Callithrix jacchus: one gene and its partners. Each later gene encodes a partner of the first gene's protein in a complex. Links are inferred from orthologs where the notes say so. Each region holds a gene or a part of one and is shown on either strand. Other genes may lie near its edges. The genes, in order: NFS1, FDX2 and LYRM4.

Region 1 (10,612 bases):
AGTCTCACTCTCTCTCTCTCCCCCAGGCTGGAGTGCAGTGGTACAATCTTGTCTCACTGCAACCTTTACCTCCAGGGTTCAAGTGATTCTCCTGCCTCAGCCTCCCAAGTAGCTGAGATTACAGGTGCCTGTCACCATGCCCAGCTAATTTTTGTATTTTCAGTAGATCCGGGCTTTCCTCATGTTGGCCAGGCTGGTCTTGAACTCATGACCTCAGGTGATCTGCCCACCTAGGCCTCCCAAAGTGCTGGGATTACAGGTGTGAGCCACTGCACCCAGGCTTATCCTGTTAATTGTAAACTAATTTTGTTTAGTATTGTTTCAGGTATGTATATATATAGGTATGTAAAAAATAGTACATACATATGAATTTTTTTTTTTTTGAAATGGAGTCTTGCTCTGTCACCCAGGCTGGCGTGCAGTAGCACAATCTCTGCTCATTGCAACCTCTGCATCCCAGGTTCAAGTGATTCTCCTGTCTCAGCCTCCCGAGCTGCTGGGATTACAGGTGCCAAACACCACCCCTGGCTAATTTTTGTATTTTTAGTATTGACATGGTTTCATCATGTTGGCCAGGCTGGTCTCGAACTCCTGACCTTAAGTGATCCCCTTGCCTTGGCCTCCCGAAGTGCTGAGATTGCAGGTGTGAACCATTGCTCCTGGCCCCCTTTTGTTTTTTTTCATTTTTCGTTTTTTTGAGACAGGGTCTTGCTGTCACCCCGGCTGAAGTGCAGTGGCGAGATCTCAGCTCACCACGCCCTTGACCTCCTGGGATCAGGTGATCCTCCTGAGTAGCTGGGACTACAGATGTGTACCACTATGCCCAGCTAATCTTTTTCTTTTTTTTTAAGTAGAGATGAAGTCTCACTACATTACCCAGGCTGGTCTCGAAATCCTGAGCTCAAGCGATCCTCCTGCTTTAGCCTCCCAAAGTGGTGGGATTATAGGCATGAGCCACCACCACCGCATCCAGCCCTTTTTTTCCTTCCTTTTTTTTTTTTGAGATGGAATCTCGCTCTGTTGCCCAGGCTGGACTGCAATGGCACGGTCTTGGCTCACTGCAACCTCTGTCTCCTGGGTTCAAGTGATTCTCCTGCCTTAGCCTCCTGAGTAGCTGGGACTACAGGCACTTGCTATTGTGGCTGCCTAAGTTTTGTATTTTTAGAGAGAGGGGGTTTCCCCATGTTGACCAGGTTGGTCTCAAATTCTTGGCCTTAGACGATTCACCCAACTTGGCCTCCCAAAGTACCGGGATTACTGGCATGAGCCACTACACCTGGACCCTTTTTTTTTTTTGCTTAAATGAGATGAATGGTTCTTTATTTTCTTGTAATAGTTGAAAATCCAGGAATTTTTAAACGTACCTTTATTGTTTCTTCTGATATTAAAAGTAACACCTGGGCTGGGCGCGGTAGCTCACACCTATAATCCCAGCACTTTGGGAGGCCGAGGCGGGTGGATCACGAGGTCAAGAGATTGAGACCATCCTGGTCAACAAGGTGAAACCCTGTTTCTACTAAAAATACAAAAATTAGCTGGGCATGGTGGTGCACGCCTGTAGTCCCAGCTACTCCGGAGGCTGAAGCAGGAGAATTGCTGGAACCCAGGAGGCAGAGGTTGCTGTGAGCCGAGATCGTGCCATTGCACTCCAGTCTGGGTAACAACAGCGAAACTCCGTCTCGAAAAAAAAAAGTAACACCTACTCATGACTTGTTTACTGTTATATGGCTGGTACCTAGAAAATCACTTGGTGGGCCGGGCGCAGTGGCTCACACCTGTAATCCCAGCACTTTGGTGGGAGTCTGAGGCAGGTGGATCACGAGGTCAGGAGATCGAGACCATCCTGGTCAACATGGTGAAACCCCGTCTCTACTAAAAATGTAAAAATTAGCTGGGCATGGTGGTGCACGCTTGTAGACCCAGCTACTCTGGGCGCTGAGGCAGAAGAATTGCTTGAACCCAGCAAGCAGAGGTTGTGGTGAGCCAAGATCGCGCCATTGTGCTCCAGGCTGGGTAACAAGAGCGAAACTCTGTCTCAAAAAAAAAAAAGGAAAATCACTTGGTGGCCACGCGCAGTGGCTCATGCCTGTAATCCCAGTACTTTAGGAGGCTGAGGCAGGTAGATCACAAGGTCGGGAGATCGAGACCAGCCTGGCCGATATGGTGAAACACCATCTCTACTAAAAACAAAAATTAGCGGGGCATGATGGTGGGCGCCTGTAGTCCCAGTACTCAGGAGGCTCACGCAAGAGAATTGCTTGAACCCAGGAGGCGGAGGTTGTTGCAGTGAGCCAGGATAGTGCTACTTCACTCAAGCCTGGCTACAGAGCAAGACTTTGTTTTTTGTTTTGTTTTGTTTTTCAAGAAAATTACTTGTCATATTATAGGTGCTAAATACTGGTTCAATGAATGAAACATAAATCTTCCAGTAATATAGGGTAGAACTCTCTAAAAACATAATCACTGTTAATTTGCTGTATTTTTCTCCAGATTTTTAAATACCTATATTAATCCGTATACTATTATTATTTCAGTAGACTTTATTTTTTATAGCCGTTTTAGGTTCACAGCAAAATTGAAAGGAAGGTACAGAAACTTCCCATATATGCCCTGCCCTCAGGCATGCATAGCCTTCTGCCATTATTAGTATCCTCCATCAAGTGATACATTTGTTCCAGTTGGTGAACTGATATTGATACACCATTATCATTATCACCCAAAGTTCATAGCTTACATAAAGATTCACTGGTGTTGTACATTCTATGGGTTTGTACAAATATTAGTTATTCTAATAAATTATTTAACTTGAGGGGCGTTCAGGAAGCCCTGAATTTGTAGTTGGCTGGGCAGAGTATGGGTAGCTCAAGAGACCTGGGACTTACTTCTGGCATCTGAACTAGGGGCAGTCCTGTGTGATTTGCCCTTAACCCATGGGGTTTTCACTAAGTCTGGGGAGTTAGCCTCAGAATTGAATTATATGATACTCAGTTGGTATGAGAGAACTGGTGTTGGAGCGTACTGTTCTTGCCCACTTTTCCTTTACAAATGAGATCAAAGTCATTGCTGTCTCTCTGAGTATGTTCTCCTTCCATCTATCCCCACCACCAATTTCTAGGGAGTGGCCCGGTTCTACAGATCACGGAAAAAGCACTTGATCACCACCCAGACAGAACACAAATGTGTCTTGGACTCCTGCCGTTCACTGGAAGCTGAGGGCTTTCAGGTCACCTACCTCCCAGTGCAGAAGAGTGGGATCATTGACCTGAAGGTAGGAGTGGCTATTGGCATGAGGAGCAATAATGGAGGAGCCTGGCTTCAGCTTGTAAATTTCTCTCTTGGGCTCTAACTGGAGCTTGAAGGACTAGATCTAACATTTAGGGTGAGGTTTAGAGAAATAGGCCTGGCATAGAAAGAGATCATGTTCCCCTTGAGTGTATACTGTCCTTTTCTCTGGAGGATTTGTTTCTTTTGTTTTTTTTACTTTTCTTTTCTTTTTTTTTTTTTTTGAGATGGAGTCTTGCTCTCTTGCCCAGGCTAGAATGCTGTGGTCTGATCTCAACTCACTGCAACCTCTGGAGGAGGACTTGTTTCTTTCTTTCTTTCTTTTTTTTTTTGAGACAGAGTTTTGCTCTTGTCACCCAGGCTGGAATGCAGTGGCATGATCTAGGCTTACTGCAACCTCCGCCTCATGGGTTCTAGCGATTCTTCTGCCTCAGTCCCCCAAGTAGCTGGGATTATAGGTGCCTGCCACCAGGCCCAGCTAATTTTTGTATTTTTAGTAGAGATGAGGTTTCACCATGTTGGTCAGGCTGGTCTCGAACTTCTGATCTCAGATGATCTGCCTATCTTGGCCTCCCAAAGTGCTGGGATTACAGGAATGAGCCACTGTGCCTGGCCTGGAAGACATGTTTCTTACCATTGTTGGTGTTTTCTGGTTTGTATGAGAGCCATTGGCCACATATGCAGGATGCCAGGGACTCAAATTCACCATGGCAAAGCTCTGGCCTCCTCCTTCCCTGCACTGATGCTTCTCATCCTGCTAAAGAAGTGGTATCATTTTCTTGAATCTTATCCACCAGATTTTGTATATCAGCATCCCTAGACAAATCTTAACATGCTGTTTGTAGATGGACCCCTCAATTTAAACTCTAAATTGTTATCATTCATTATTTCCTCCCTTTTTTGTCTTTTTCACATTCATTCATCAATCACTCACACTCATATCTATGGCCATTTTCTTATAATGTCACTGGAATTATACTTTCCCTTCTCTGACTCCTGCCCTCCCTTCCTCCCTCCCTCCCTTCCTTCTTCCCTCCCTCCCTTCCTTCCTCCCTGCTTCTTTTCCTCCCTTCTTCCCTTTTGCCCTCCCTCCCTCACTCTTTCTCTCTTTCTGTCTCCTTTTCTTTTCTTTTTTTTGGAGACAGGGTCTTGCTGTGTTATCCAGGCTAGAGTGCAATGGTATGGTCATAGCTCACTGCAGCCTCAGACTCCTGGGCTCACCTCACCTGGCTAAATTTTTGTTTTTGTTTCGTTTTTTGATGGAGTATTGCTCCGTCACCCAAGCTGGAATGCAGTGGCAAAATCCCAGCTCACTGAAACCTCTGCCTCCTGGATTCAAACCATCCTCCCACCTTAGTCTCCCAAGTAGCTAGGACTACAGGTGTATGCTACCACACCCAGCTAATTTTTTTGTATTTTTAGTAGAGAAGGGGTTTTATCGTTTTGGCCTGGCTGGTCTCAAACTCTTGACCTCAAGTGATTCACCCGCCTTGGCCCCCCAAAGTGCTGGGATTACAGGCATGAACCACCGTGCCTAGCCTGGCTAAATTTTTAAGCATTTTTTATAGATGCAGCATCTCATTATGTCCTCCAGGCTGGTAGTGAACTCCTGGACTCAAGCGATCCTCCTACCTTGGCCTCCAAAAGCACTGCAATTACAGATGTGAGCCACCTTGCTCAGCCTCTTCTCACTTCTTTGACTGGATTATATCCTGTGTCTTAGCTACCTCTGGACTTTAATCTCTGTTGCCTGAAGTAGCCCTTTAGTTACAACCTTCCAGCGTGTCCTGCACATCCTTATCAGACTTTATTTCCAAAGTACTCATTTGACCTTTTCTCACTTTACTCAGAAATCTTGAGAGATTTCTCATTTCCTTTGGCATGAAGCATAATTTCATTTTGCCTGACATTCAGATTTCTTTACTTGGTGCTTTTTTTAAGCCCTTAGAAATTTGTGATATAATTCATGTACCATTTAACTTCCAGTTTAATGGAAAAATTAATAATACACGTACCACAAAATTCATCTTTTGAAATTGTATGATTCACTATTTTTTAATGTACAATTCACAGAGTTTGCAACAGTCATCTCTGTCATATTCCAGGACATTTTCCTCACTTCAAAAAAGAAAGCTATGTATTTTTTCTTTTGTCATTTGCGGGGTTTTTGTTTTTTAGATGGAGTTTCTCTCTTGTTGCCTAGGCTGGAGTGCCATAGTGTGATCTCTGCTCCCTGCAACCTCTGCCCCCTGCGTTCAAGCAATTCTCCTGCACTAGCCTCCCAAGTAGCTGGGATTACAGGCATGCACCAACACACCTGGCTTATTTTGTATGTTTAGTAGGGACGGAGTTTCGTCATGTTGGCCAGGCTGGTCTCAAACTTTTGACCTCATGATCTGCCCACCTTAGCCTTCCAAAGTGCTGGGATTACAGTCATGAGCCACTGCACCTGGCCAATTTTTATATTTTTAGTAGAGAAGGTGTTTCACCATGTTGGCCAGGCTGGTCTTAATTCCTGACCTCAGGTGATCTGCCCACCTTGGCCTCCGGAAGTGTTGGGATTACAGGCGTGAGCTACCACACCTGGCAGTTTCTTTAATTTTGTCATTCATACTGTCATGTAAATGGAATCATACAGTATGCAGTCTTGTAGGATTGGCTTTTTTCTTTTTCTTTTTTTTTTTTTTTGAGATAGAATATCACTCTATCACCCAGGCTGTTGGGCAGTGGTGCGATCTTAGCTCACTGCACCTCTGCCTCCCAGGTTCAAGCAATTCTCCCCAAGTAGCTAGGATTACAGGTACGTACCACCACGCCCAGCTAATTTTTGCACTTTTAGTAGAGGCAGGGTTTCACCATGCTGGCCACGCTGGTCTTGAACTCCTGACCTCAGGTGATCCTCCCATCTGGGCCTCCCAAAGTGCTGGGATTACAGGCGTGAGCCACCATATCCACCCTTCCTTTTCTTTTTTTTTTTTTTGAGGTGGAGTCTCGCTCTGTTGCCTAGGCTGGATTGCATTGGTGCAATCTCAGCTCACTGCAACCTCCCCCTCCCCGGTTCAAGCATTTCTCCTGCCTCAGGCTCCCAGGTAGCTGGGACTATCGCACCATGCCCAGCTAATTTTTATATTTTTAGTAGAGACAGGGTTTCTCATGTTAGCCAGGCTGGTCTTGAACTTCTGACCTCAGGTGATCCACCCACCTCAGCCTCCCAAAGTGCTGGGATTACAGGCGTGAGCCACCACTCCTGGCCTCGACTGGCTTTTTTCACTAATCATAAGTCTTTGGGAATTCATTCATTGCTGCATGTGCCAGTAGTTTGTGCCTTTTGATTGGTAAGCAGTAGTCCATGTTATGGATATACCAAAATCATCTATTGAAGGACATCTGAGTAGTTTCTGGGTTTTGGCTATTATGAATAAAGTTACTGTGAACATTTGTGTAAGATGTTTTGTGAATTTAATTTTTATTTCTCTGGGATAAATACTCAAATGTGCAGTTACCGGGTTGTATGGTAATTTCATGTTTAGTTTGATGAGAAACAGAAACTGTCAAACTCTTTTTAAAGTGGCTGTGACATACATTCCCACCAACAATGTATGAATCATTCAGAGTCTATGCATCCTCACCAACATTCTGTGTTGTCACTGTTTTTAGTTAACTATTCAGATAGCTCGTTAGCATAAAGCTCCTTTTCACGACTAAGCTTGCCTATATTCTGATTTAGGAGGACTTTGTTTGCACTATCTAGTCACCTTACTCCTACATATCCTTAGGAACTAGAGGCTGCTATCCAGCCAGATACTAGTCTGGTCTCAATCATGACTGTGAACAATGAGATTGGAGTGAAGCAGCCTATTGCAGAAATAGGTGAGTATCATGGGTTAACCCTGATCCCTGCCCACCATGGTGGTCTGTATGAGGTAGTAGACTGATAACTGTAATACTCTATGGAGTGAAGTTAGGAAATCAAGGGAAAGAGAGTCTAAGTACTTTGTTCAAGGACAATGTAAGTGGCGTAGCCAGTATTTGAATTCAGGTCTAGTACCTTTTTTTTTTTTAAATTGAGACAGAGTGTCACTCTGTCACCCAGGCTGGAGTGCAGTGGCATGATATTTGCTCACTGCAACGCCTGCCTCCTGGGCTCAAGCAATCCTCCCACCTCAATCTCTCAAGTAGCTGAGACTACCAGGTATGCATCGCCATGCCTAGCTAACTTTTGTACTTTTAGTAGAAACGAGGTTTTAGCATGTTGGCCAGGCTGGTCTCAAACTCCTAACCTCAGATGATCCACCTGCCTTGGCCTCCTAAAGTGCCGAGAGTACAGGCATGAACCACTGTGCCCAGGCAGGTCTAGTATTTTTTATGATTTTTCCTTTTATTGCAGTTGCTTCCAAAACCAACCACAAAACAAAAAAAGGCTTCTACCCTTTTTCCTTTTAGAACATCTCTTTATTATTCCCAGATAGAGCTCACCCTGTAATCTCCTTAGGCACATTAGCACAAAGAGCTGTTAGTTTTTTGTTTGTTTGTTTGTTTGTTTTTTAAAATCAAAAGGGATCTGGAAGAAAATCTGACATTTTGAAAGGCTGGTGTAAATGACGTGGTAAGTTTTAAGTATAGTATGCATGATAATATCAGGAGTATTTTGACCTGCTGCTTTGCCCTTCATCTTTTTTATTCTAAAGAAGGGAAGCTGGGGAGACTGAGAGAGGGAGGAAGGGAGAAGGGAGAGGAGGTAAGGAAAAGAAGTATAAGGGGTTAGGTGGAAGGAGGGGAGGAGTTTAATATTGACGGAGGTCATTTACTGCTGGTGGAGATAATTCACAGTGCATTGTGGGATACTGATACATTACTTCCCAACACTTTGCTGTGGGTCTTCCCCTCTGTTGTTTCCTCAGGGCAGATTTGCAGTTCCAGAAAGGTATATTTCCATACTGATGCAGCCCAGGCTGTTGGAAAAATCCCACTTGATGTCAACGACATGAAAATTGATCTCATGAGCATCAGTGGTCACAAAATCTATGGTCCCAAAGGTACCAGCCCCTTCTTGAGTTCCTCTTCTCTGTACTTTCCAGCAAGACATTTGATAGATGTTTGTCAGAGTCATTTGGGACTACTGTTGGTCTCAGAGGAAGTTGTACATTCAGAGTCCCTTCTAGAATGCAAGTGTCAATTAGCAATAGCCAGAAACGCTTGCTGGTTTGTAGACCTTGGTAGTTACTATACGGCAGGCCATTCTTTTTTTTTTTTGAGACCGAGTCTCACTCTGTCACCAGGCTGGAGTGCAGTGATGCGATCTCTGCTCACTGCAAACTCTGCTCCCGGTTCAAGTGATTCTTCTGCCTCAGCCTCCCAAGTAACTGGGACTACATGCATGTGCCAACATGCTCTGCAAATTTTTGTATTTTTAGCAGAGATAGGGTTTCACCATGTTGGCCAGGATGGTCTTGATCTCTTGACCTCGTGATCCGCCCACCTTGGCTTCCCAAAGTGTTGGTATTACAGGCGTGAGCCACTGTGTCCAGGCAACAGCAGGCCATTCTTTATTGCTCTCTTTAACAAATCCTTACGGAGTCTTGCTCTTGTTCCCCAGGCTGTAGTGCAGTGACGCCATCTCTGCTTACTACAAACTCTGCCTCCCGGGTTCCAGCGATTCTCCTGCCTCAGCCTCCCAAGTAGCTGGGATTACAGGCACCTGCCAGTATGCCTGGCTAATTTTTGTATATTTAGTAGAGACCAGGGTTTCACCACGTTGGCCAGGCTGTCTCAAACTGCTGACCTCGTGATCTGCCTGCCACAGCCTCCCAAAGTGCTGGGATTACAGGCATGAGCCACTGCACCTGGCTCAAGCATGTAGATCTTAATTTGATTGAGGAAAAGGGGGTTTTGTGAAATGAAATTTATCTAGTTGGGCCCAGCTATCTTGTTTGCCCCACTATGATGTACAGAGCAACTATGTGAGTCCTTTATTCCGAGTGTCTTGCTATAGCTTAGGGGAAGATTGCATGGGATTTCACATTCCTTTGTGTTTATTCTTAGAAGACTTTGTAGTCTGTTATCCTAATATTCTCTCAAGGATACCTGTTTGAATTTGGGAACTGTATGAACTCAGATAGTAAAATGGAGAAATGAAATAATTTTTTTTTTGAGACAGAGTCTCACTCTGTCTCCCAGGCTGGAGTGCAGTAGCATAATCTTGGCTCACTGCAACCTCTGCCTCCTAGGTTCAAGCTATTCTCCTGCCTCAGCCTCCTGAGTAGCTGGGACTGCAGGTGTTCGCCACCATGCCCGGCTAATTTTTTGTATTTTCAGTAGAGACAGGGTTTCACTGTGTTAACCAGAACCTTATTTTATTCATTTATTTTATTTATTTATTTTGAGACGGAGTCTCACTCTGTTGCCGAGGCTGGGAGTGCAGTGGCGTGATCTCAGCTCACTGCAACCTCTGCCTCCCAGGTTCAAGCAATTCTCCTGGTTCAGCCTCCTGAGTAGCTGCTACTACAGGTGCTTGCCACCATGACTGGCTAATTTTTTTTTTTTTCCCGAGTCGGAGTTTCGCTCTTGTTACCCAGGCTGGAGTGCAATGGCGCGATCTCGGCTCACCGCAACCTCCGCCTCCTGGGTTCAGGCAATTCTCCTGCTTCAGCCTCCTGAGTAGCTGGAATTACAGGCACGCACCACCATGCCCAGCTAATTTTTTGTATTTTTAGTAGAGACGGAGTTTCACCATGTTGACCAGGATGGTCTCGATCTCTTGACCTCGTGATCCACCCGCCTCAGCCTCCCAAAGTGCTGGGATTACAGGCTTGAGCCACCGCGCCTGGCCCTGCACCCAGCTTTTAATTTAAAATCTGGTGTCCTTCGTAATAAATTTGGAAAGCACTGCCTTAATTTTTATAGTACCTCTATTCTCGGCATAAACAGGTTTTCTGTGTAGAAGAACTGTCAAATGCCCATTCTATTCAGAAACCCTGATTACTTAGTGAATAACTTTGCATGCTCATGCTCATATTTTGGCACAGATTTTCCATAAGTCGGCTTGTTTGGTCACAGGTTACACACATTTTCAGCTTTTTTATTTTTTGAGTGAAGGTTTCACTCTGTTACCTAACCAGGAATGCGGTGAGTGGTACAATCACAGCTCACTGCAGCCTTACCTCCTAGGCTCAAGTGATCCTCCTGCCTCTGTCTCCAGAGTTGCTGGGACTATAAGTACATGCCACCGTGCCCAGCTAATTTTTAATTTTCCTTTGTAGACACAGGGTCTTACTGTGTTGCTTAGGCTGGTCTCAAACTTCTGGTCTTAAGTGATTCTTGGCTTCCCAAA
Region 2 (10,001 bases), on another chromosome or scaffold:
CCAGCTGAGAGCGACCAATCTTGGCGGCGCCTTTCCTTTTTCTGACTTCAGGTCATCTGCGCACCCCTGCGTGCCAAGAGCGGCCTGGACCCCACCAAATCCCTCCGCAACTGCGGGGGCGGGGCCTTCCACGCTGGCCCTCCCCCCCGGCAATGGGGGCTCCCAGGCCTCTGCCTCAGATCCCCAGTGGGATCTCCGATCCCAGAGAGAGGAGAGCCCGGGTCCCAGCACAGCAGATGAAGGTGTGTGTTTTTGTTTTGAGACAGAGCCTCACTCTGTCACCCAAGCTGGAGTGCAATGGCCTGATCACTGCTCCACTGCAGCCTAAATCTCCTGGGCTTAAGTGATCCTCCCACCTCAATCTCCCGAGTAGCTGGGACCACAAGCACTTACCACCACTCCATGCCCATTTTTACTTTTTTATAGAGACAGGGTCTCGCCATTTTGTCCTGGATGGTCTTAAGCTCCTGGCCTCAAGTGAACCTCCCGCCTTGGCCTCCCAAAGTGCTGGGATTACAGGTGTGAGCCATGTGTAGACCCCAGATCTGTCCCCTAAGGACACTCAACATGCTGGGGCCTGTGATACTGATTTATTGCAGCTCCAATCTGAGTCCACTCCTATTCACACCGATTCTCAGGGGCTTGGGGAAGGCCACCCAACAAGGCGCCCTGTCCCCACCAGAGCCTGGACATGGGCACCTCTCCCAAGCAGGGGTGCTGTCCTTCTCGGGGGCTTCCACATCTCTCCCAGGCCTGTCCGAGCTCTGGGCGGGGCTGGCACGTGGCTATTCCCTCGGTTTGGGCCCTGGGGCCTTGGCAATGTGGAAAGGTCCAGGCACCCATGTCAATGGGGCTTGGGAACATGGCCGTCCACGTAGAAGTTCCTGGTGATCTTGGGCAGGGTGAATTCCGCTCCTTCCAGCTCCCGCGTTAGCACGATCTGGCAACCCAGCCGTGAGTTCTCCTGGAGGAGGGGGGCCATGTCTAGCATGTCGTCTTCCCTGGGGTGGTGACACGGGCAGTGTTAGCCGAGGGCATGCTGGTTGTGGGGCGGGGTGGGGGCTGGAAGTGGGGAGGACAGTGGGGGCTGTCCAGAAGTCTAAGCTGCAGCTTCCAGCCAGGCAGGGCTGCCCTACTCACCTCTCCTCGGGAGGAGGCAGGAGATCCAGGTGGTCTTCACTCACATACACATGGCAGGTGGAGCAAGCCAGGGAGGCTTCGCAGGCCCCTAAGGGCGGGAAGCGAAGGGGGTGTAGGTGAGTGGCACAGTCAGGAGGGGGCTGCTCTGTGGAGTGAAGGGCAAAGAGAAGCCCTCTCTTCCACCACGTGTCTCCCTCCCGGGTCTGCAGCCTCACAGCTAGCCGTTCCCCAGCTTTGTATAGGGTTTACAAAGGGACTCCCCAGGAGGCTGCGATGCAGAACCATTAAGGAGCATGGACTTGGCTGCCAGAGCTGAGAGGGGAAGGCCAGGCAGGCTCCCAGCAGCCTGTGAGCCCTGGCTATGACCCTATCACTGTGCTGGGCAAATGTGTCCCCACCTCTTGGCTACTCTTGGAGGATGGACCAGCTGACTCAGCAGTCAGTGTGGTGGGGGAAGGAGTCAGGGATTAGCACTTTTTTTGAGACAGGGTCTCACTCTATTGCCCAGGCTGGGGTGCTTTGGCTCCATCACCGCTTACTGCCTCAATCTCCCAGCTCAAGCAATTCTCCCACCCCAGCCTCCTGAGTAGCTGGGACTACAGGTGGACACCACGCCACCATGCCTGGCTAATTTTTTTTTATATGGACTTGCAGTCCATGTTTGTTTTGTTTTTTTTTGAGATTGAGTTTCACTCTGGTTGCCGAGGCTATAATGCAATGGTGCGATCTCGGCTCACTGCAACCTCCTCCTCCCAGGTTCTAACTATTCCCGTGCCTCAGCCTCCCAAGTAGCTGGGATTACAGGCATGTACCACCACAACCAGCTAATTTTGTATTTTTATTAGAGATAGGGTTTCACCATGTTGGCCAGGCTGGTCGAAAGCTCCTGACCTCAGGCGATCCACCCATCTCACCCTCCCAAAGTGTTGAGATTACAGGTGTGAGCTGAGCCTCCATGCCCAGCCCTTTTTTTTTTTTTTAAAGAGATGAGGTTCACCATGTTGCCCAGGCTTGTCTCAAACTCCTAAGCTCATGAATCTGTCTGCCTTGGCTTCCCAAAATGCTGGGACTACAGGTATATGTCACTGCACGTGGCCAGGAATTAGGGTTGAAAGAGACAGAACCTGAGGTTTTCTGCTAACCACCTGCTCTTGGTCACACCCCCCACATCCTCTGATCATAGAGACCCGTGCCTGGGGATCATGTCCCTCCTGGCCTAAAACCTTCCAAAAGGTTTTCAAACCCAGAATCAAATCCAAACTCCTCCACTTAGTCCTTCATTTCCCCCATCTCCCTCATTCATTCCTTTTCTTTTTTACCTTTTGAAGTTTTTTTGTTCTGTTGTTGTTGTTTTTGAGACAGAATCTCACTGTTACCCAGGCTGGAGTAGAGTGGCGTGATCTCAGCTCACTGCAACCTTCACCTCCTGGGTTCAAGCGATTATCCTGCCTCAGCCTCCCACATAGCCGGGATTACAGACTCCCACCACTACGACCAGCTAATTTTTGTATTTTCTAGTACAGACGGGGTTTCACCATGTTAGCCAGGCTGGTCTCGAGTTCCTGACCTCAGGTGATCTGCCCGCCTTGGCCTCCCAAAGCGCTGGGATTACAGGCATGAGCCACCGCACCCCACCCTGTTTGGCTTTTTCTGTCTTCCTGCTTTGCATGAACTGTACAACTTACTCCTTGATGCAACTGGAACCCACCAAGCTCACCCCACCACAGGGCCTTTGCACTGACTGTATCCCTGGCCTGGAGTACCTTCCTTTCTACTTTTTGTTTCCGGTTTTTGTGTGTGAATTTTTGAGAGGGAGTCATGCTCTATCACCCAGGTTGGAGTGCAGTGGCGTGATCTCAGCTCACTGCAACCTTCACCTCCTGGGTTCAAGCAATTCTCTTGCCTCAGTCTCCTGAGTAGCTAGGATTACAGCCCACCACCCTACCTGGCTGATTGTTTTGTGTTTTTAGTAGAGATGGGGTTTCACCATGTTGTCCAGGCTGCTCTTGAACTCCTGACTTTACATGATCTGCCTACCTCAGCTTCCCAAAGTGCTGGGCTTACAGGCTTTGATCCTGGCCTGTTTCAGTTTTTTTTTTTTTGGGATAGGGTCTCACTACGTTGCCCAGGCTGGCCTCCATCTCTCAAGCAATCTTCCTGCCTCAGTCTCCTGAGAAGTAGAGACCACAGGCGCCCACCACCACACCTGGCTCTTTCCTTGGCTGGACCCTTCTTGTCTTCAGGGACTCCACTCACCTGTCCCCTGATTCCCACATCTCCCGTGTCTTGTCCCTCTCCCTTTTACTTTCTGTATTTATCAGTCAGAAGTAACCGTCTTCCTCTCTGGCTTGACCTGCTCCCCATCAACCTGCCCTTCTCTGTCTGCACTCAGCCTGGCATGTTACAGATGCGCAAGGAACATGTGTCAGGCTGGGTGCCTGTCATCCAAACCCACGCCTGTCATCCCAGCACTTTGGGAGGCCCAGATGGATGGATCGCTTGAGCCCAGGAACTTGAGATCAGCCTGGGCCATATATTGAAACCCCGTCTCTACAAAAAATACAAAATAATTAGCATCTTGCTAATCCCAGGCGTTGTGGCATGCGCCTGTAGTTCCAGCTACGTGGCAGAGCCTGGGAAGGTCGAGGCTGCAGTAAGCCATGTTTACACCACTGCACCCCTGCCCAGGCAGCACAGGGACCCTGTCTCACGGCAACAAAAAGCAGCATTTATCAGTTGGGCATGGTAGCTCATGACTACAATCCCAGCACTTTGGGAGGCTGAGACAGGAAGATCACACTTGAGATCATGAGTTCGAGGCCAGGAGTTCAAGACCAGCCTGGGCAACACTAGGAGGTCCTGTCTCTACAAAAAAATTAGCTGGTCATGGTGGTGCATGCCTGTGGTCCCAGCTACTTGGGAGGCTGAGGCAGCAGGATTGCTTGATCCTGGGAGTTCGAGGCTGTAAATCTTGATTGTGCCACTGCACTCCAGTCTGGGAAATAGAGGGAGAGCTTAAATTAAAAAAACACACACTCAAAAAAAAAAAAAGAAGAAAAAGAAAACAACATTTGTCCTCAGTGCACAGGAAGACGTTAAACTAAGAATTTTTCTCCCCTTTCTAGACTTGTCAGACCACGAGGGTGGATCTGGATGGCAGCCTCCTGACCTGGCTTCGCCTCCCTGTTTGCTTCAACCGTCACCGATGGGGCTCTGTGACCAATCTGCCCCGTCTCTATCGCTTGGAGAGAAACTGCCTGGACCTTGAAACTCCAGTCAGTCCCTGCATGTCTCGTCAGCCCCATTACCCACCTCGTTAGCATCCTCATCACATGAGATTGAGATAATCTAATCTAGTCATTCCAGCCACTCACTCACTTCACACTGGCTTCATGCCAGCCACTAAAAACCACCAAACACTGTTGAATCTTCACAGCAACCCAGTGAGATCGGAATTAAATTATCCAATTGTATAGACGAGGAAACAGAGGCCCAGAGAAGCTAAGTCCCTTTCTCGGGGTTATGTATCTGGTAAGAGGCAAACTTGGAACACAAGCCACTTACCTCTTTTTTTTTTTTTTTGAGACAGAGTCTCACTCTGTCAGCTAGGCTGGAGTTCAGTGGTGTAATCTCAGCTCGCCGCAACCTCTGCTTTCCCAGCCCAAGTGATTGTCCTGCTTCAGCCTCCCAAGCTGCAATTACAGGCGTGCGCCACTACGTCCAGCTAATACTTGTATTTTTAGTAGAGACAGGATTTCACCATTTTGACCAGCCTGGTCTTGACCTCAGGTGATCTGAACATCTCCGCCTCCCAAAGTGCTGGAATTACAGGCATGAGTAATTCGTGCCTAGGCAGGCCATTTACCTCCAAAACTCACATTCTGGCCGGGCATGGTGGTTCATGCCTGTAATCCCAACACTTTGGGAGGCTGAGGCAGGCAGATTACCTGAGGTCAGGAGTTTGAGACCTGCCTAGCCAACATGGCAAAACCCTGTCTCTATTAAAACAACAAAAAATATTAGCCAGCTGTGGTGGCGGGCGCCTGTAATCCCAGCTGCTTGGAAGGCTAAGGCAGGAGAATCACTTGAACCCAGGAGGTGGAGGATGCAGTGAGCCCATATTATGCCATTGTACTCCAGCCTGGGGGACAGAGCAAGACTCTGTCTCAAATCGACCAATCAGTCAACCTCACATTCCAATCTCTGTCCTAGACTGCAGGCCACTGGACTCCAGAACAGGACTTTAGGTAGGCCTTTCCTCCCCCAGCATATCTTCCCTTTAATGATAAAACAAAGGTCCCTGATATATTCACCCTAAAAGCAAACCCTGTATATTGTCTTCCAGACAACCCTTCCCAAGTTGCTCATGACATAATTCTATATTTACCTATGGGATTTTTGTCCCTATTAGGCTGAAATTGGTGTGAGATGACAGAGGCCTTATTTGTTTTGTGTATTGCTGCCTGACGCCTAGTAGGTATTCGTAGAAAGGCAGCGCAGATTCGTGGCTAAAATGGGCGGGTGAATCTAGTATTGTCATTCACTTAACCTTAGACCAGCTCTACTTAACCTGGGGTTTAGTTTCCTCATCTATAATATGGAACAGCAGTCTCTACTACTGAATAAAGTTGTCATGAAGATTCAATCAGTGAATATGCATTAACATGCTTAAAGAAACACATATATATTTTTTTGAGACAGTCTCGCTCTGTCGTCCAGCCTGGAGTGCAGTGCTGCCATCTTGGCTCACTGCAACCTCTGCCTCCCAAGTTCAAGTGACTCTGTGCCTCAGCCTCCTGAGTAGCTGGGATTATATGCATGTGACACCAAGCCCAGCTAATTTTTGTGTTTTTCGTAGAAACAGGGTTTCGCCATGTTGGCCGGGCTGGTCTTGAACGCCTGACAAGTGAGTCACCTGCCTTGGTGTCCCAGAGTATGGGGATTACAGGCATGAGCCACTGTGCCTGGGCAATACATTTTTATTATTATTCTTCTCTCAGTGAATGATCAAACACCTGTTACATCCTGACAGGCTACAGATAAGCATGAACAAGAACATGGGTCTCTGGTCTCACTAGGGGACAGATGACAAAGAAGGAAAGAAAACAACCTGGCATTGTGGCTTGTGCCTGTAATCCCAACTACTTGGGAGGATCGCTTGAACCCAGGAGTTCAAGGCTGCAGTGAGCCTTGGTGACACAGCAAGGCTCTGACTCTCTCTCTTTTTTTTTTTGGAGATAGAGTCTCACTCTGTTGCCAGGCTGGAATGCAGTGGCGCAATCTTGGCTCACTGCAACCTTCGCCTTCCAAGTTCAAGTGATTCCCCTGCCTCAGCCTCCCAAAGGCTCTGTCTCTTAAAAAGAGAAAAAAAGTTGGCTGGGTGAGGTGGCTCATGCCTGTAATCCCAACACTTTGGGAGGTCGAGGTGGGCAGGTAAAGAGATTTAGACCATCCTGGCCAATGTGGTGACACCTAGTCTCTCTTTTTTTTTTTTGAGATGGAGTCTTGCTCTGTCACCAGGCTGGAGTGCAGTGGTGCAATCTCGGCTCACTGCAACCTCTGCCTCTTGGGTTCAAGCAATTCTTCCACCTCAGCCTGCCGAGTAGCTGGGACTACAGGTACGTGCCACCACACCTAGCTAATTTTTGTATTTTTAGTAGAGACAGGGTTTCATCATGTTGGCCAGGGTGGTCTCGACCTTTTGACCTTGTGATCCGCCTGCCTCAGCCTCCCAAAGTGCTGGGATTACAGGTGTGAGCCACCACGCCTGGCCAACACCTCATCTCTACTAAAAATACAAAAATCAGCTGGGCGTGGTAGTGTGTGCCTATAGTCCCAGCTACCTGAGAGGCTGAGACAGAATTGCTTGAACCCAAGAGGCATAGGTTGTAGTGAGCCAAGATCGCACCACTGCACTCCAGCCTTGGTGACAGAGCAGGAATCCATCTCAAAAAAAAAAAAAAAAAAAAAAAGTGAGAGGTGCTATATATCATATCACACTGTTAAGACAGAGTGACTAGGGGGGCATGGGTTCTTCAGCTGGGCTGAGGGGAATGGGATTGTTAGGGACATGGCATTTACACTGAGGTCTAAAGGATGAGAAAGAGCCAGAATGTTTGCTGGGAAAGCACTTCAGACAGAAGGAACAGCAAATGCAAAGGCCCTGAGGCAGGAATGAGCTTGGCTGTTTGAACTATAAGAAAGCCAGTGGGGGCCGGGTAGCTCATCCCTGTAATCCCTGCACTTTGGGAGGCCAAGGCGGGTAGATCACCTGTCAGGAGTTTGAGACCAGCCTGGCCAACATGGTAAAACCCCAGCTCTACTAAAAGTACAAAAATTAGTGGGGTTTGGTGGTGGCTGCCTGTAATCCCAGCTACTCGGGAGGCTGAGGCAGGAGAATCGCTTAACCTGGGAGGTGGAGGTTGTAGTGAGCTGAGGTGCTGTGAGCCACTACACTCCAATGCCATCTCAAAACAACAATAACAAAAAAAAACCAAGAAAAATAAAGTCAATGTAGCTAGAATACAGGAAGGCAGGGGCAAGAGAAAACAAATTCCAGGGAGGTGTCCTAGTAATCCCTGCTCTTTGGGAGGCCTAATAAATGCTTAATAAATAAGAGCCGGGCTCCTCAGGAGGCTGAGGCAGGAGGATCGTTTGAACTCCCAGAGCCTCTGCTGTCACCCCCTTGTTGAAGATGAATTCTTGAAATCTGCCTGCTTGCCCCAGGCCAGAGCCCTGGAGCTGGCCTCCTTTCAGCCCAGTGCCAGAAACCAGCACTCCATGCAGAGGCGGAGGTTGCAGTGAGCTCAGATCGTGCCGTTGCACTCCAGCCTGGGCGACAGAGTGAGACCGAAGGAAAGGAGGAGGAAGGAAGGAGGGAAGGAAGGGAAGGAGGGAAGGAGGGAAGGAGGGAGAGAGGGAGGGAGGGGAGGGAGGGGATGGGCAACGGATGAGGCCGCAGTGAGAGGTTTGCATTTTAGTCCATATTTGGTCGGAAAAGCCATGAAGAGACACACCGGATTTGTGTGTTTTTTGGACAAATGGATAAAGACCTCCTTAATTCCCCGTGCCCGGTTCCTACCTTCCAGGTCCACCCCGTGGCGCTGGGCCAGGTGGAGAACATTGTCCCCGACTCTGCCGCTCACTGGGATTCGCTGGCCTGAGCGGTCTACGAACACCACGTTCACCCTGGGGACAGATGGAGGTGCAAATGCCGAGCTGGATGATGGACTCAGGGCCTGGGTAGAATCTAGAGTTAGGAAGTCGGGGTTGAGGCTTGACGGACAGGGACTGAATAGGGCGAAGCAGAAGGGGGACCTCGAGATGAAGCTACAGGGCAAGATGGGGACCGGAGGAGTTTCGTGGAATGAAGAATGAGGGACTTGGCCCCCTGCACTCACACGTCCCCGGGCCGCTCGGGGCCGCCCGCCTCCTCTCCAGCCTGGCGCGAGCCTGGAAAACACGGTTGGGTGAGCGGCTGCACCGAGCCCCGCCCCGCCGGCATCTAATTGGGTTAATGCCACCCGCTCCGGACGCCCCAAGTACCTGTCGCCTGAAACTTTCTGACTGTTACCGAAGCCACCGCATCCCCGGACCCCGAAGTGCCTCCAGGTCTATTCCACCAGGTGCCTCTGGCAGCCTGCAGAACCCTGGCTCTCACGCCGCCCCGGGCCATGGAGGCGGCCATGACATGCATCACGTGACACGGCAACTGAGCATGCGCCCTACCGGAAACGCGAGCGAAGTACTTCTAATTACCAGAATTTAAGCGCAGATGTTTGTTTGCTTAATGCCTGCGGTCACCATAAGGGAAGAGCAGGGTGAGATCCAATGCAGGTAATTCTGCGGGGCCATCCCAAACCTCCCACTCAAACCCACTGTTTGTTCCAAGAACCAGCCAGCTTTGATTTCTTTAAAACCATTTACTTACAAACTTTAATTCAGCAAAGGTCCATGTGGGGAGATTGGGGTTGGGGGGGAAAAATCCCCATGGAGTGGATGTGGGTCACCAGAATCAGGGGAGGGAAGCTGGTGGCCCAGTTGGCCTGCGGCAGGGCCCAGGGTCACCTCAGGTTGACAGGTCCTGCTGGTGGACAGACCCAGAGCTTATCTGCATGGAGTGCTGGTTTCTGGCACTGGGCTGAAAGGAGGCCAGCTTCAGGGCTCTGGCCTGTGGCAGGCAGGCAGATTTCAAGAATTCATCTTCAACAAGGGGGTGACAGCAGAGGCTCCGGGAGATGGATACAATGCCCGACTCCCACAGACAGACGTAAGGGGGACTGGCAGAGAAAGCCCATCTCTGCACCGAGTCCCAGGCAGGAAGGGGTGATGGGGCTGGTTCAGCAAGATGAAGGCTTTGGCCTTCTACTATCCCCAGGGTGGAGATCTTGGGTAGGGTGGCCCGATACCTAGGCCAGGGCTGTTTGGTCCATAGTCAAGCTCCCAGAGCTCCACATCTGTGGCTCTGGCCAGCAGGGCCTGGGGCCCAGCTTTTAAGGCATCAGAAGGGGAGGGGGTTGTGGCAGGGACCCCCGGGCTGGGGTACAGGCCAGATGGGCAGGCAGGGACAGGAGACAGCATGCCTGCAGCAGATGTGGGAAAAAGAGCTGTTTTGAACCGTGAAGTGTGGAATGGTGGCCCGGACAGGCCGGACCTTGAAAGAATCAGAGCTGGGGGTTGAAGAATAAAAATTAGAAAAGGAAGCAGAAGTCAGCTGTCAAAGTTAAAAAAAGGAGACAGCCTCTGTATCCTCACGGGAGGTGAGGGAAACCTCCAAGGCACTCAAAAGGCCAAAATTACAGGAGCAACGGAAGCAGGAGGGCTCCAGAGAGACGGGCACAGCAGAGGAGGTGAGGGGAGGG
Region 3 (11,242 bases), on another chromosome or scaffold:
CAGGAATGTATGGCAGAAACAAGGAAGTCAAGAATGATAACGTAAATGTAATATGAGCCCTAATAAAGGCAAGAACAGGTGCTTCCTCAACATCTGCTTATCTTCCACTTCATCCAGAAACTGGCTGTCAGGCTTGGTAAAAACCAAGTCAAATTTCCACCCTCTCGTATTCCAACTTACCCTCTTCTCCTTCATTCCACTCATGTAAAACGAAATGCTGTTCCTCTGTCCAAGACCAACCCCACCAGCTGTGCTCTCATGTACCACTTTTCACCTCTCATGGGGTCCTGCTCTAGCGGTTATCTACTCTTATGGTTTTGAACCAAGACTCCAGTGGGAGGTGGAAGGGGTGTCGATATTCAACAGTAGCAACTTCTGATTCATGTCTCAACCCCCACAAGCTGGGTTCTGCCATAAGCACTTTATTAACAATGCTGTTCTGGTAATGGTACCAGAGGTCTCTACACTGCCAAACCCACGGACCACATTCCCCTCTTTATTAACTGGACCTTGCTAAGGCAAGCCACCCTGCTGACCACAGCTACCTTCCCAAACATATGACTACCTTGGCTTCTGCAACACTACTCTTTACTTGGTCTTCTCCCATTTCTTAAACCCTACAGTAGTTATTCAAGGGACTAGGGCAGAGGTCTCTGAGACCTTTCAGGGGATCCACCAGTAAAACTATTTTCACAGTTACCAGGAAGACATCTGCATTCTCTTAGGAGTAGATAGGGGAAATTGCCAGACACTAAGTAACATGTGATATAGCAACAAATTGTAGGTAGCAACGAATATAAGCACCCAGTTGTCTTCTAGTAAGCCAACCATGAAAGACACTTGCACAAGTGTCAAACTATCAATCTGCTAATTTTTGAGGAGAAAAAATGGTTATTTTTCATAAAAGTGTTACTTAATAGTCACTTAAAAACAGGTGTTTTTACAAGCTTTTGGTTTTGATTTCTAATATGATGTGTCCCACAGAAAGAAAAGCTTTTTGGGCTCCTCAGCAATATTTAAGAATGTAAAAGGCCTAAGACCAGTTAAGCTGAAGAAGCACATTCTTAAACTTTGTCTTCTTGGCTCTTCTTCCGCCAACTCCTTCAATTTTGATGTTCCCTAGAATAGCATCCATAGCCCACTAATTTTCTTACCTTAAATTAGGATTTCTAAGTCTTAGTGTGACCAACCTTTTGGGCCAATTAATTCTTTGTTAATAGGGGCTGTCCCCTGTGCCTCCCTGGCCTCAGACGCTTAGCACCCCCTTTCCGAGTTGTGGCAACCAAAAATCTCCAGATATTGTCAAATAAAATCACCCCAGGATAAGAACTACTAACCTAAATAGTATTCCTAAATAATTCACCTAATATCTAGGTTTTAACTTGACTTATGATGATAATTCTACTTATCAAGTACCCATTTAGCATCAGGGACTTTCCTAAGTACTTGACGTATATTAACGCACTTAAGCAGTGGCGCTGACTACAGTCCCCATTAACAAAGAATTAGCTGGCCCAAGGTTGGTCATGCCAACATTAAGAAATCCTAGTTTAGGGTGAGAAAAATTAGTGGGCTACGAATGCCACTCTAGGGAACATCAATATTAAAGGAGGTGGAAGAAGAAGAGCCAAGAAGACAAAGTTTAAGAATGCGGTTCCTGGTTGGGTGCAGTGGCTCACACCTATAATCCCAGCACTATGGGAGGCCGAGGTGGGCAGATCACCTGAGGGCAGGAGTTCAAGACCAGCCTGGCCAACATGGTGAAACCCTGTCTCTACTAAAAATACAAAAATTAGCTGAGTGTAGTGGCAGGTGGCTCAGCTACTCAGGAGGCTGAGGCAGGAGAATCATTTGAACCCAGGAGGTGGAGGTTATAGTGAGCTGAGATCGCACCATTGCATTCCATCTTGGGCAACAAGAGCGAGACTCCAACTAAAAAAAAAAAAAAAAAAAAAAAAAGAACGTGGTTCTTAAATGTATTTGTCTTGGGACATTTTTACACTGTGTGAGATGGATCAGTTATGATTCTTACAAAGAAACTGCAGAACAGAGAGTGGTGTGACTTGCTCAGGGTCACATAGAGTTGGTGGTGCTGACTATTGTGGTTCTGATTACTCTTCTGAGCTTCAGAGCCCTGTTGATTACCTCTGCTGGGAATCCCAGGGGACATCTGCACTCAGTATACCCTAAAAATAAGCTAAAAAACCCTCTCTCCAGACGTCCAGCTATTTCTGTATTACTGAAGTTAGTTAATGGTGCAAGTTTAAATTCACCCTCTCCTTGTCTTAGCGTAACCAGAAACCTGGATGCCATTCTAGGCTCTGCTTAGATTCTCTTCTTCCTTAGTCCTCAGTCCAGTCATTTGAGTTCTAACAGTTTCCCTTCTAATGATTCATCAAATACAACATTTATCTCTATCTTCCACTATTCCTGTCCTTACTAGCATCCTAATCTCTACCCTGCACAGCTGCAATCAACAGCCATTTGATGTCCTTGGTCCCTCAAAATCATCTTCTACATTGCTGCCAGAGTGATCTATCAAAAATGCAAATCTGGTCATGTCATGTTAGTGGCTGCCTGTGAGCTAAGGGTGAAGTCCAGGGTCCTCAGCATGGCCCCCAGGCCCTCAAATCAGTGGCCCTCTCCAACCTCAGTTCCTTCCTGTCACCCCCTGCATCATACTTACCTCCCTGGCATTGCTCTGCTGTTTGCCTGCCTGAGCACACATGCTGCTTCACACCTTTGATCTGATGTCACCCGCTGAAAGGCCTTCTAGATTTTACACTCTGTGCATCCTTCTGTCACAGCAGTTAAACCAGTCTGTGACAACTATCTCTGTACCTGTGTCCCACATAGGCTTGTAAAGCCACTGATGGCAGGTGCCTAGTTTAGTTCAAAACTCATCTTTCTCTCTTCAGGGCCTGGCATAGCAGTGCTCCCTAACTTGGGGCCACAGACTGGTTGGTATGGGTCCATGGCCTGTTAGGAACAGAGCCACACAACAGGTGAGCAGTGGGTGAGAATTATGGCCCGAGTGCCATCTCCTGTCAGACCAGCAGTGGCGTTAGATTCTCATAGGAGTACCTATTGTTAACTGTGCACGCACATGAGCTCATTATGAGAATTTAATGCCTGATGATCTGAGGTGGAATTGTTTCATCCCAAAACTATCCCCTCCCTTGACCCAGTCCATGGAAAAATTGTCTTTCACAAAATTGGTTCTTGGTGCCAAAAAGGTAGGGGACTGCTGTGGTATAGCACTGGGCAAAATATGCTTCAGAGAAGTTTTGTAGAAGCACTGAGGGAAAAGAATGACATACAGCAATGAGACCTGTTTGGGTGGAGGGAGGGATGGGAGTGGAGACTATGAGATGAAGAGAGTAGGGAAAACTTTTGTTCAAAGAAGGTAACAACTGAGCTGAGTCTTGAATGAAGAGGAGGCACTCTAGACAGAAGCAATAAAGGACCTGCAGGATAGAACAGTACTGGCAAAGGCCTGGAGGCCCAAGAGGATGTGGCACATAGGAAACTACAACTGATGATGATAGAGGACAGGATACATAGGTGGGACCTTGACTGAGACTGGAGGAACAGACAGGGCTCATGCTATCAAAACATGGCCTATATTTTATGTCTTGCAAGAGCGTTCCAAAGTATTTATTTCACTATTCCAATTACTTTAGGCACCACAATTTGCAGGTCATTAAAACATTTTTACTAGTCTACTTTTGATTGCTTATCCAGCACTGCCTGTTATTACTTTTTTTTTTTTTCAGACGGAATTTCGCTCTTGTTACCCAGGCTGGAGTGCAATGGTGTGTTCTCGGCTCACCGCAACCTCCGCCTCCTGGGATCAGGCAATTCTCCTGCCTCAGCCTCCCGAGTAGCTGGGATTACAGGCACGTGCCAACATGCCCAGCTAATTTTTTTGTATTTTTAGTAGAGACAGGGTTTCACCGTGTTGACCAGGAAGGTCTCAATCTCTTGACCTTGTGATCCACCCGCCTCGGCCTCCCAACTATATTACTTTTGATAGGTGACTTAACCTCCCTGTGCCTCAGCTGCCCTACGGGGTCATAAAAATAGTACCTACCTCACTAGATTACTGTCAAAAATAAACATGTTAATAGACATGAAGATGATAAGATAGCAGTCGCACACAGAATTGATCAGTGGATGCTGTATTGCTATTGATTTGCCATCAGTGACAAATAGCTGCTGAGATTAGAGTGGAGGGAAGGGACTGTTCTTGAAATCCACAAGACACAGCCTTAATGTAAAAGAAGGACATATTTTATAACAAGTAAGTTTATCTTGGGAGATGACAGTAGCAGAAACCTAAGTTTTTAGGTCCATGATCTCAGGCAACAGTATAAAATGATTACCAGACTCCTTTGAATAATACATTTATATTTGGGTAGTAAATTTAGCTGAAAATTATATGTTTAAGTATAATTTGACCAATTATTTTCTGAATGTATATCATCTTACAGTTGTCCATACTGAAAGCCATTTTCAATTTTCTGCCTTTCAGGTACAGCCTTGAATGATTTTCCTGCAGTCTGAATAATTTTCCTGTTGAGTTTCTTGAATGATTTTCCTGTTCAGTTGGCAACTACTCATTTGAAAATAATTGGGATTCATTTGCTCATAAATCACTTCCAAAGAGAATTTCAGAAATAGAAGGGTCCTTAGAGACTGTCTAGTCCAACAGTCTATTTCACAAACAAGAGCTCTGAAAAACAGAGATTGAGTGACAAGTCCAAGTTATAGTCTTTGAGGGTTCCACCTTGACTTTCTACATGCTCTCACATAGACCCTCTCCCTGCCATTTTCTTTAGTGTGTGAACTCCCTGCTGGTTCCAAGTCCTTAGGTATCCTCAGTCTAAATAACAAAGTATCTTCCTCCAGACTATGGTGAAATCAAATGGTTTCTATGTATATAACGTGCATATTTCATGTGTTCCCTCAACAGACTTGGTTAAGTACTTGGTGCTAGGTGTTTGTTTAATCTTGCTAAAAATTCCACCAGTATGCCTATTATTACACTCATTACTCTCCAAAGTCAAAGTCATTAAGTAAAATCATGTTCTCCGGTGAAATTTAACCACTTAACTGGGTGGATACGACTTCAGGGGTATGACCTAGATGCTGTTCTCAAATTTGCAGAATGAACATGTTTTCTAAGCAGGTTTCTAAACATTTGAGAGTCACTGCTTAAGAGGCTTACTGTTCCTTTCTTCTGACAGAGGTTGTTCAGGTCGGTCTGCCAACTCACACACCTGGTAGAGGGGAGCCTACCTAACCAGGTGTGTTCCAAGGGTAGGCTCTGCTCCTATGACATCCAGTCCATAGGCTGGCCAGTCACCTAAGTGAGGCTTGGGGTAAAGACATGATTGATCGAGTCAGATTTTTTCTCAGGGGAATATGGCTTAAAATCAGAGAGGAGTAGCAGTTAGTCAAAACCAAACCAAACCAAACAACACATCTGAAAAAAATGCAGAGAGAATCCATAAGGAAATGATGGGTCAGAAGCAGCAACAAAGTGAAAGTAGAGGTTCTGAATTAGAAAAAACCATACAGGCCGGGCGCGGTGGCTCACGCCTGTAATCCCAGCTCTTTGGGAGGCAGAGGCAGGTGAGTCGCTTGAGTTGGGAGTTTGAGACTAGCTTGGCCAACATGGCGAAATCTCGTCTCTACTAAAAATGCAAAAAATTAGCCAGGCGTGGTGGCGGGCGCCTGTAATCCCAGCTATTCGGGAGACTGAGGCAGGATAATCACTTGAACCCCGTGGGGCGGAGGTTGCAGTGAGCTGAGATTACGCCGCTGCACTCCAGCCTGGGCAGCAACAGAAAAAGAATCATAGGCAAATAGGGGAATGGTGAGGCATGTAAAAAAGTGAATGTGTTATATTAAAGATGTAAGAGTTTAGACCCTCAGTGTCCTGCTATCAAGGTCAATAAGCAGGATCTGTCTGGTGAGCCAGGATAAACTGAGGTTTCAGCTCCAAAGCCTGTGAGGTCCTTTTTCCTTTACCGCTAAGCCTTTCCATCGTACCCTAAATAGAACGGATTTGATTCTGGCAACCAAAAGAACTCTTTACGACACCTGGGAAACTTTAGGGAGGTGCTAGCGTGTGCCTTAAGCTTTTTAGCTGTGTGCTACTCACTGGCCATTTCCACGCTCTAGGGAAGTTTTACGTATGCAACATATTGGCCTTAACTTCACCAATGGCTGATTTCCATCTTTTTTTTCTCTTCTGCAGAAACATAACACTAATCATGCTCCGAGAGCACCAACCAAGGTAGACTTTAGGGGGAAAACGTTATAAGACGTGAACGTCTTCCCTGGTAGAAAGAAGAGCAAGCCCTCCGCTCCTCCCCGAGGTCTCAGAGGCCACACCTGCAGGCAGGAGCACGCTTTTCTATGGCGGAACCCGGTCCCTTTCTCGCGGCCGCCGGCGCAGGACGGTGGTTCCAAGGACATTCCGCGGCAGCCCGCGCCCCCGGCCCCCGGCCACCGGCCCCCGGCCCCCGGTCCCCGGCGACCGCCGCGTCACCTGTAATTGTAGGCGCTGAAACGCTTGCTTTCTCTCAGCATAGCCCGGTACAGATCTAACACTTGTGCGCGGCTGGAGGCTGCCATTTTGGAAAGAAAAAAACAAACGGGTCCTCTTCGGAGAGGTCCCAAGTCCAGCCCAACCCACGGAACTTCAGCCTGTGCAGAAACTACGAACGAAATAAAGTGCGGCGGCTCGGCCTTGCCAGCTAGGCGGGCACCCCTGAGGACCGCAGACGGCACCCGGCATCCCGGGCCTCTTCCAAGGCGGGCACAGGCAGGCCTCGGGGCAGCTAAGGGGGCGGTGCCTGGAGGGAGGTGCCTCCGCTCCGCCCAGCCCCCGGCTGGAGGCTCTGGACCCAGCAGCCGCTCCAAGCGGCTGAAAGGCGGGGAAACTAGAGGCCTGGCCGTCGGGGCATCCAGCCAAGCCCCTGGGGGACGAAGATCGGAGGCGCGAGCATCCGAGAGAACTGCAGTTGCACCACGGAGAGCCTTTGCGAACCGTCCGGGGTCTTGGAGGGGACATTTGTGTTTCAAGGCGCAGCGGCCCTTAGTACCTCCAGGAGGCTGCGTTGCCAGGGTTACCGAAGGCCGCCGCGCCGAAGGCCCGCCCTTGACCGCCGATTCCCCGCCCCCACTGGCTGCGGCCGCCCTCAGTGCTGCCTGAGAGGCCTTGCGGGATTTCAAGGGTGACTTGACTTCGCCCGATCCTGCTCGGCTGGATGGGGTTTCATGGCCTTCTCTATGTTGGGAGGCGCGATGTCTGGGTGTGGAGGTGATGAGCCAGGGGTTCTGTGGTACTCCGGCGCTGCTCAGGGCGACCTGCATAGGGGCCTGCGGGACAGGCCCGCTTTCTGTCAAAATGGCGGTGCCCAGCGTACAGGGGTGTCTCTTCAGTTGGGGTTTAAGATTCTTGCCCTGAGAGCGAACTAGCCTGCCACGCTTCCGATTTTGAAACACTTGGGTCTGGGTTTCCCGGGAGAGCGGTGGGTGAGTGCCGGCCTCGTTGCAGCCTGGGGTGCGACGTGGGCAGTTGGTGTGGTAGGGGGTTTACATTGGCCGTGGATTTTTTTCCTCTTTCCTGATGTGGATTTGCTTTTGAGTGAAGTGTCCCCGTGGTTTTGTAAACTAATAAATTTGTAAAATGCAGCCTGGCTGTAGACCTCGGAGAATAATTAGAGACCTTTAGGGGTTTAGGTATTCTCCAAGAAGCAGAGCAAGTTTTCTCCCATGGCTTGACCTAAACTTTTTTGAATTACCTTATTAAAGTGGTGGATAAAGTTGCTTGTTCTAATTTTTGAGCATGGGACTGGAGGCAGGGAAGCCTCAGCCAATTCTAGTACTGTGTTCGCAAAGCAATTTTCTTATTTTTGGAATCTTGCTTTACATAACCTTAGGAAGAACGACACCTTTCTGCATTCAAGCACAGTGAGGAGTACCTTTATACGTAAAAACAAAAGGGCTGGACGCAGTGGCTCCCGCCTGTAATCCCAGCACTTTGGGAGGCCGAGGCGGGCGGATCATGAGGTTAAGAGTTCAAGACCAGACTGGCCAACATGGTGAAACCCCGTCGTTGTGACATGGTAAAAGCCCCATAAAGCTGCATACCTCAACCATACCTAGGCTTTGTGTTGAAACTGCTCTCTGTAACCCTGATGTGACAGGCAAGCAGTCCAAACCCACGCCATCTTGGCCCCTGCGACTTGTAATAAGTAACTAAGGTCTGTAATTTCCACCCATATCCAGACAACGTGTAAACTAACACTTATCTTGACTTCTGTAAACCGCTTAAGCCACAATCGGAATATCCAAAGCCCTCTGGCCCTGGGAATGTCCGGAGCCCCTCACTCTCATCTCCGCCCCAGAGGTAATTTACGGAATCCACTGGCCCTTGGAATGTCTAAAGCCCCTCACCCTCACCCCCAAGGTGGTTTACAGGCGTAAAAGTTCTTGACACCCTCCTTTCAGGGCCACGGGTTGGAGAGACGAGAGTCCTCCGTGACCGCCGGCAATTAAGACCCTGCAATTTGGCATACTTTTGTCTTGGTGTTAACTTTCTATGCTCGGGCCAGTACAACACGCTACTGAAAAATACAAAAATTGGCTCGGCCTGGTGACTCGTGCCTGTAATCCTAGCTACTTGGGAGGCTAATGGAGGAGAATCAGGGACCTGGGAGGTGGAGGTTGCAGTAAGCCAGTTACAATTGTTTCAACCTATTAAGGAATTTAATCATTAATGTATATAATTAATGTATCTAAATGACTCAACTTTGTGGTAATCAAATAAAACTTCCAAGTAAATATGTATAGTTTAGATAGTTTGGGTAGCCTTGTCCTCTGTTAGTACAAGCAATGGTTGCAGTTAGGAAAGCGATAGCTTCCCAGTTAATTCTGAGCCAAGTCTTCACAAAAATACCTCATTATTTTATTTAAAATGGTTTACCAGTTTGATGGACATCATTGCCTTGAGAGGCTAATAGAAAATATTAATTCAAAAGCTACATCTCACTTTTGCATATCTTTATTGTGGAGATGCCTTTTTTTGTTTTTAAAAAAGAAGAAAGTAACTCTATTTGAGACTGTAAGTAGAATGGGCCAGAAGCTGAAGAATGGACCATACCCATATGTTCCTTAACATGCATTCTGTTCTGGGTTGAAATTTTTCTTAGGGAATATCTACAATAGGAGGTACCATTTAGGAATCAAAACATAAAAATTTCTTTAGTATTCGTTTTTCGTTTATCCAAAGTTATCAAGTAACTATAGTTCTTTATGTAAAATCTTGTATTATCTTCTATTAAAATTAGGGTTGTCCATGACCACCTAGTGCTGTGTGAAGAGAAATTTCTCAAATCATAATAAACAGCATAACAACAATTTACTGTCCTGAAGCTTAAATATCAAAGTGATGTATGGAGTAAAATTTGTATAGAAATAGTAACTTATGATATTATTTAGAAATTATTCAGGTGGGCATGGTGCTGTACACCTGTAATCCTAGCACTTTGGGAGGCCGAGGCAGGTAGATTACTTGAGCCCAGGAGTTTGAGACCAGCTTGGACAACATGGCAAAACCCCATCTATACAAAAAAATACATCATAGCAAACCTCATCTCTACACAAAAAGTACAAAAATTAGCTGGGAGTGGTGGCAGGTGCCTGTAGTCCCAGCTACTCAGGAGACAGCGTGTAGTCCCAGATACTCAGGAGACTGAGGTGGGAGGATTGCTTGAGTCCTGGAGGTCGAGGCTGTGTTGAGCCATAATCACGGTACTGCACTATAGCCTGAGCAGCAGAGTGAGACCCTCTCCAAAAAAAAAAAAACCAAAAGAAAAAAAATTATTCTATCCTACACCAGACATGAATCTAAGTATTATACATTGATCCTTCATTTTAATAGAATATGAAGGGGGAAGACCTTATATATCAACTCATTCATTTGTATAGATGAACAAACTCAAGCCTTCCTCATTCCTTCCTTCCTTCAGCATTTATTGAAGACTTCGTAAGTACCATAATTTATTATTTTTTTTTGTTTTTTGTTTTTTTTTTGAGACGGAGTTTCACTCTTGTTGCCCAGGCTGGAGTGCAATGGCGCAATCTCAGCTCACTGCAATCTCTACCTCCCGGGTTCAAGCGATTCTTCTTCCTCAGCCTCCCAAGTGGCTGGGATCACGGGTATACACAACCATGCCTGGCTAATTTTTTGTATTTTTAGTAGAGATGGAGTTTCACCATGTTAGCCAGGCTGGACTCGAACTCCTGACCTCAGGGGATCCACCTGCTTTGGCCTCCTAAAGTGTGGGGATTATAGGTGTGAGCCACGGTGCCTGGCCAATAAGTACCATAACATATGAGGACAAAACTATAAGATGACATAGTTACAGTGATGAGAGCCTCCCCACCCCTAAGAAACCTGTAGGTGATTAGATAAACCAAACAATAATTTATAGAGACAGGTTCTCGCTCTGCTTCCTAAGCTGGAGTGCAGGGGTATGATCATAGCTCATTTAAACTTCAAACTCCTGAAGTGATTTTCCTGCCTCAGCCTCCCAAGTAGCTAGGTCTATAGGCTCATGCTACCATGTCTGGCAAATTAGAAAACTTTTTTTTTTTTTTTTGGTAGAGATAAGATTTCACTATGATGTCCAGTATGGTCTCAAACCCCTCAGTGCATTTCCTGCCTTGGCCTCCCAAAGAGTTCAGCTTATAACTATAAAGTGTGAGCCGTGGCACTTGGCCAATAATTTCTTTTTGACAGTTGCTGTGATAAGAGCAATAATTTAGCAAATACTAAAGGAATACAGAAGAGGAATATTGAACTAGGACTTTCACCTAAGGGAAGGCTTTCCATCATAGGTGTTTCTAGAATGAATAGTAAGAGCCAGATGAGGAATGTGGTTAAAGATTGTATTGTATATTCCAAGCATGGAGGCAGAAGGGTGCTTGATCTATTTAGAGAACTCTAAGTGTTTTAGGATGGTAGGAGGTGGGAAGGGAGGGACCGCAGAAGTGGTTAGCCCTGCACTAACTTTATTTTAGTGATGTTTTTCCTATTTCTGGAATAAATCATTTCTTCCATTATGCATTGGCTGAGTCATATAAGTATAGCTTAACAGCTGAGCTGTTGAAATGGAAACTATTTATTCAGGTATGGATAGCCTTTTGTTTCAGATCATGAATT

The links.
Region 2: the proteins of NFS1 (region 1) and FDX2 are in contact, whole or in part, in a cryo-EM structure (PDB 8RMC), measured with the Homo sapiens proteins. The link is inferred for Callithrix jacchus from reciprocal best matches to the Homo sapiens genes NFS1 and FDX2. Residues at the interface, in NP_066923.3 of Homo sapiens: Gln153, Lys157, Leu160, Asp161, Arg164, Ala168, Tyr175, Ala384, Ser385, Leu386, Glu387, Pro388, Tyr390, Arg393, Gln456, His457; in NP_001384335.1 of Homo sapiens: Ala104, Cys105, Glu106, Ala110, Cys111, Pro141, Leu142, Ile169, Thr170, Arg171, Asn172, Phe173, Tyr174, Val175, Asp176, His178, Lys181.
Region 3: the proteins of NFS1 (region 1) and LYRM4 are in contact, whole or in part, in a crystal structure (PDB 6W1D), measured with the Homo sapiens proteins. The link is inferred for Callithrix jacchus from reciprocal best matches to the Homo sapiens genes NFS1 and LYRM4. Residues at the interface, in NP_066923.3 of Homo sapiens: Leu56, Arg57, Pro58, Leu59, Pro68, Leu69, Pro71, Arg72, Leu74, Asp75, Leu78, Glu314, Tyr317, Arg321, Asp372, Arg412, Phe413, Thr414, Thr415, Glu417, Glu418, Tyr421; in NP_065141.3 of Homo sapiens: Phe23, Tyr26, Asn27, Tyr28, Thr30, Tyr31, Arg34, Arg35, Asp38, Val65, Arg68, Gln69, Ile72, Thr78, Asp79, Lys80, Leu81, Ile82, Ile83, Asn85.

What each region holds. Positions count from the first base shown.
Region 1 is NC_133506.1:3,590,920-3,601,531, forward strand, and holds part of NFS1 (cysteine desulfurase), read left to right. Parts: intron 1-3,115; coding exon 3,116-3,268; intron 3,269-7,058; coding exon 7,059-7,152; intron 7,153-8,183; coding exon 8,184-8,318; intron 8,319-10,612.
Region 2 is NC_133523.1:9,497,738-9,507,738, forward strand, and holds FDX2 (ferredoxin-2, mitochondrial), read right to left. Parts: upstream 8,854-10,001; 5' UTR 8,837-8,853; coding exon 8,686-8,836; intron 8,593-8,685; coding exon 8,541-8,592; intron 8,329-8,540; coding exon 8,222-8,328; intron 1,229-8,221; coding exon 1,141-1,228; intron 1,004-1,140; exon of another isoform or gene 1,002-1,003; coding exon 845-1,001; 3' UTR 576-844; downstream 1-575. UniProt on the Homo sapiens protein: Electron donor, of the core iron-sulfur cluster (ISC) assembly complex, that acts to reduce the persulfide into sulfide during [2Fe-2S] clusters assembly on the scaffolding protein ISCU.
Region 3 is NC_133505.1:25,186,288-25,197,529, reverse strand, and holds the start of LYRM4 (LYR motif-containing protein 4), read right to left. Parts: upstream 6,845-11,242; 5' UTR 6,646-6,844; coding exon 6,560-6,645; intron 1-6,559.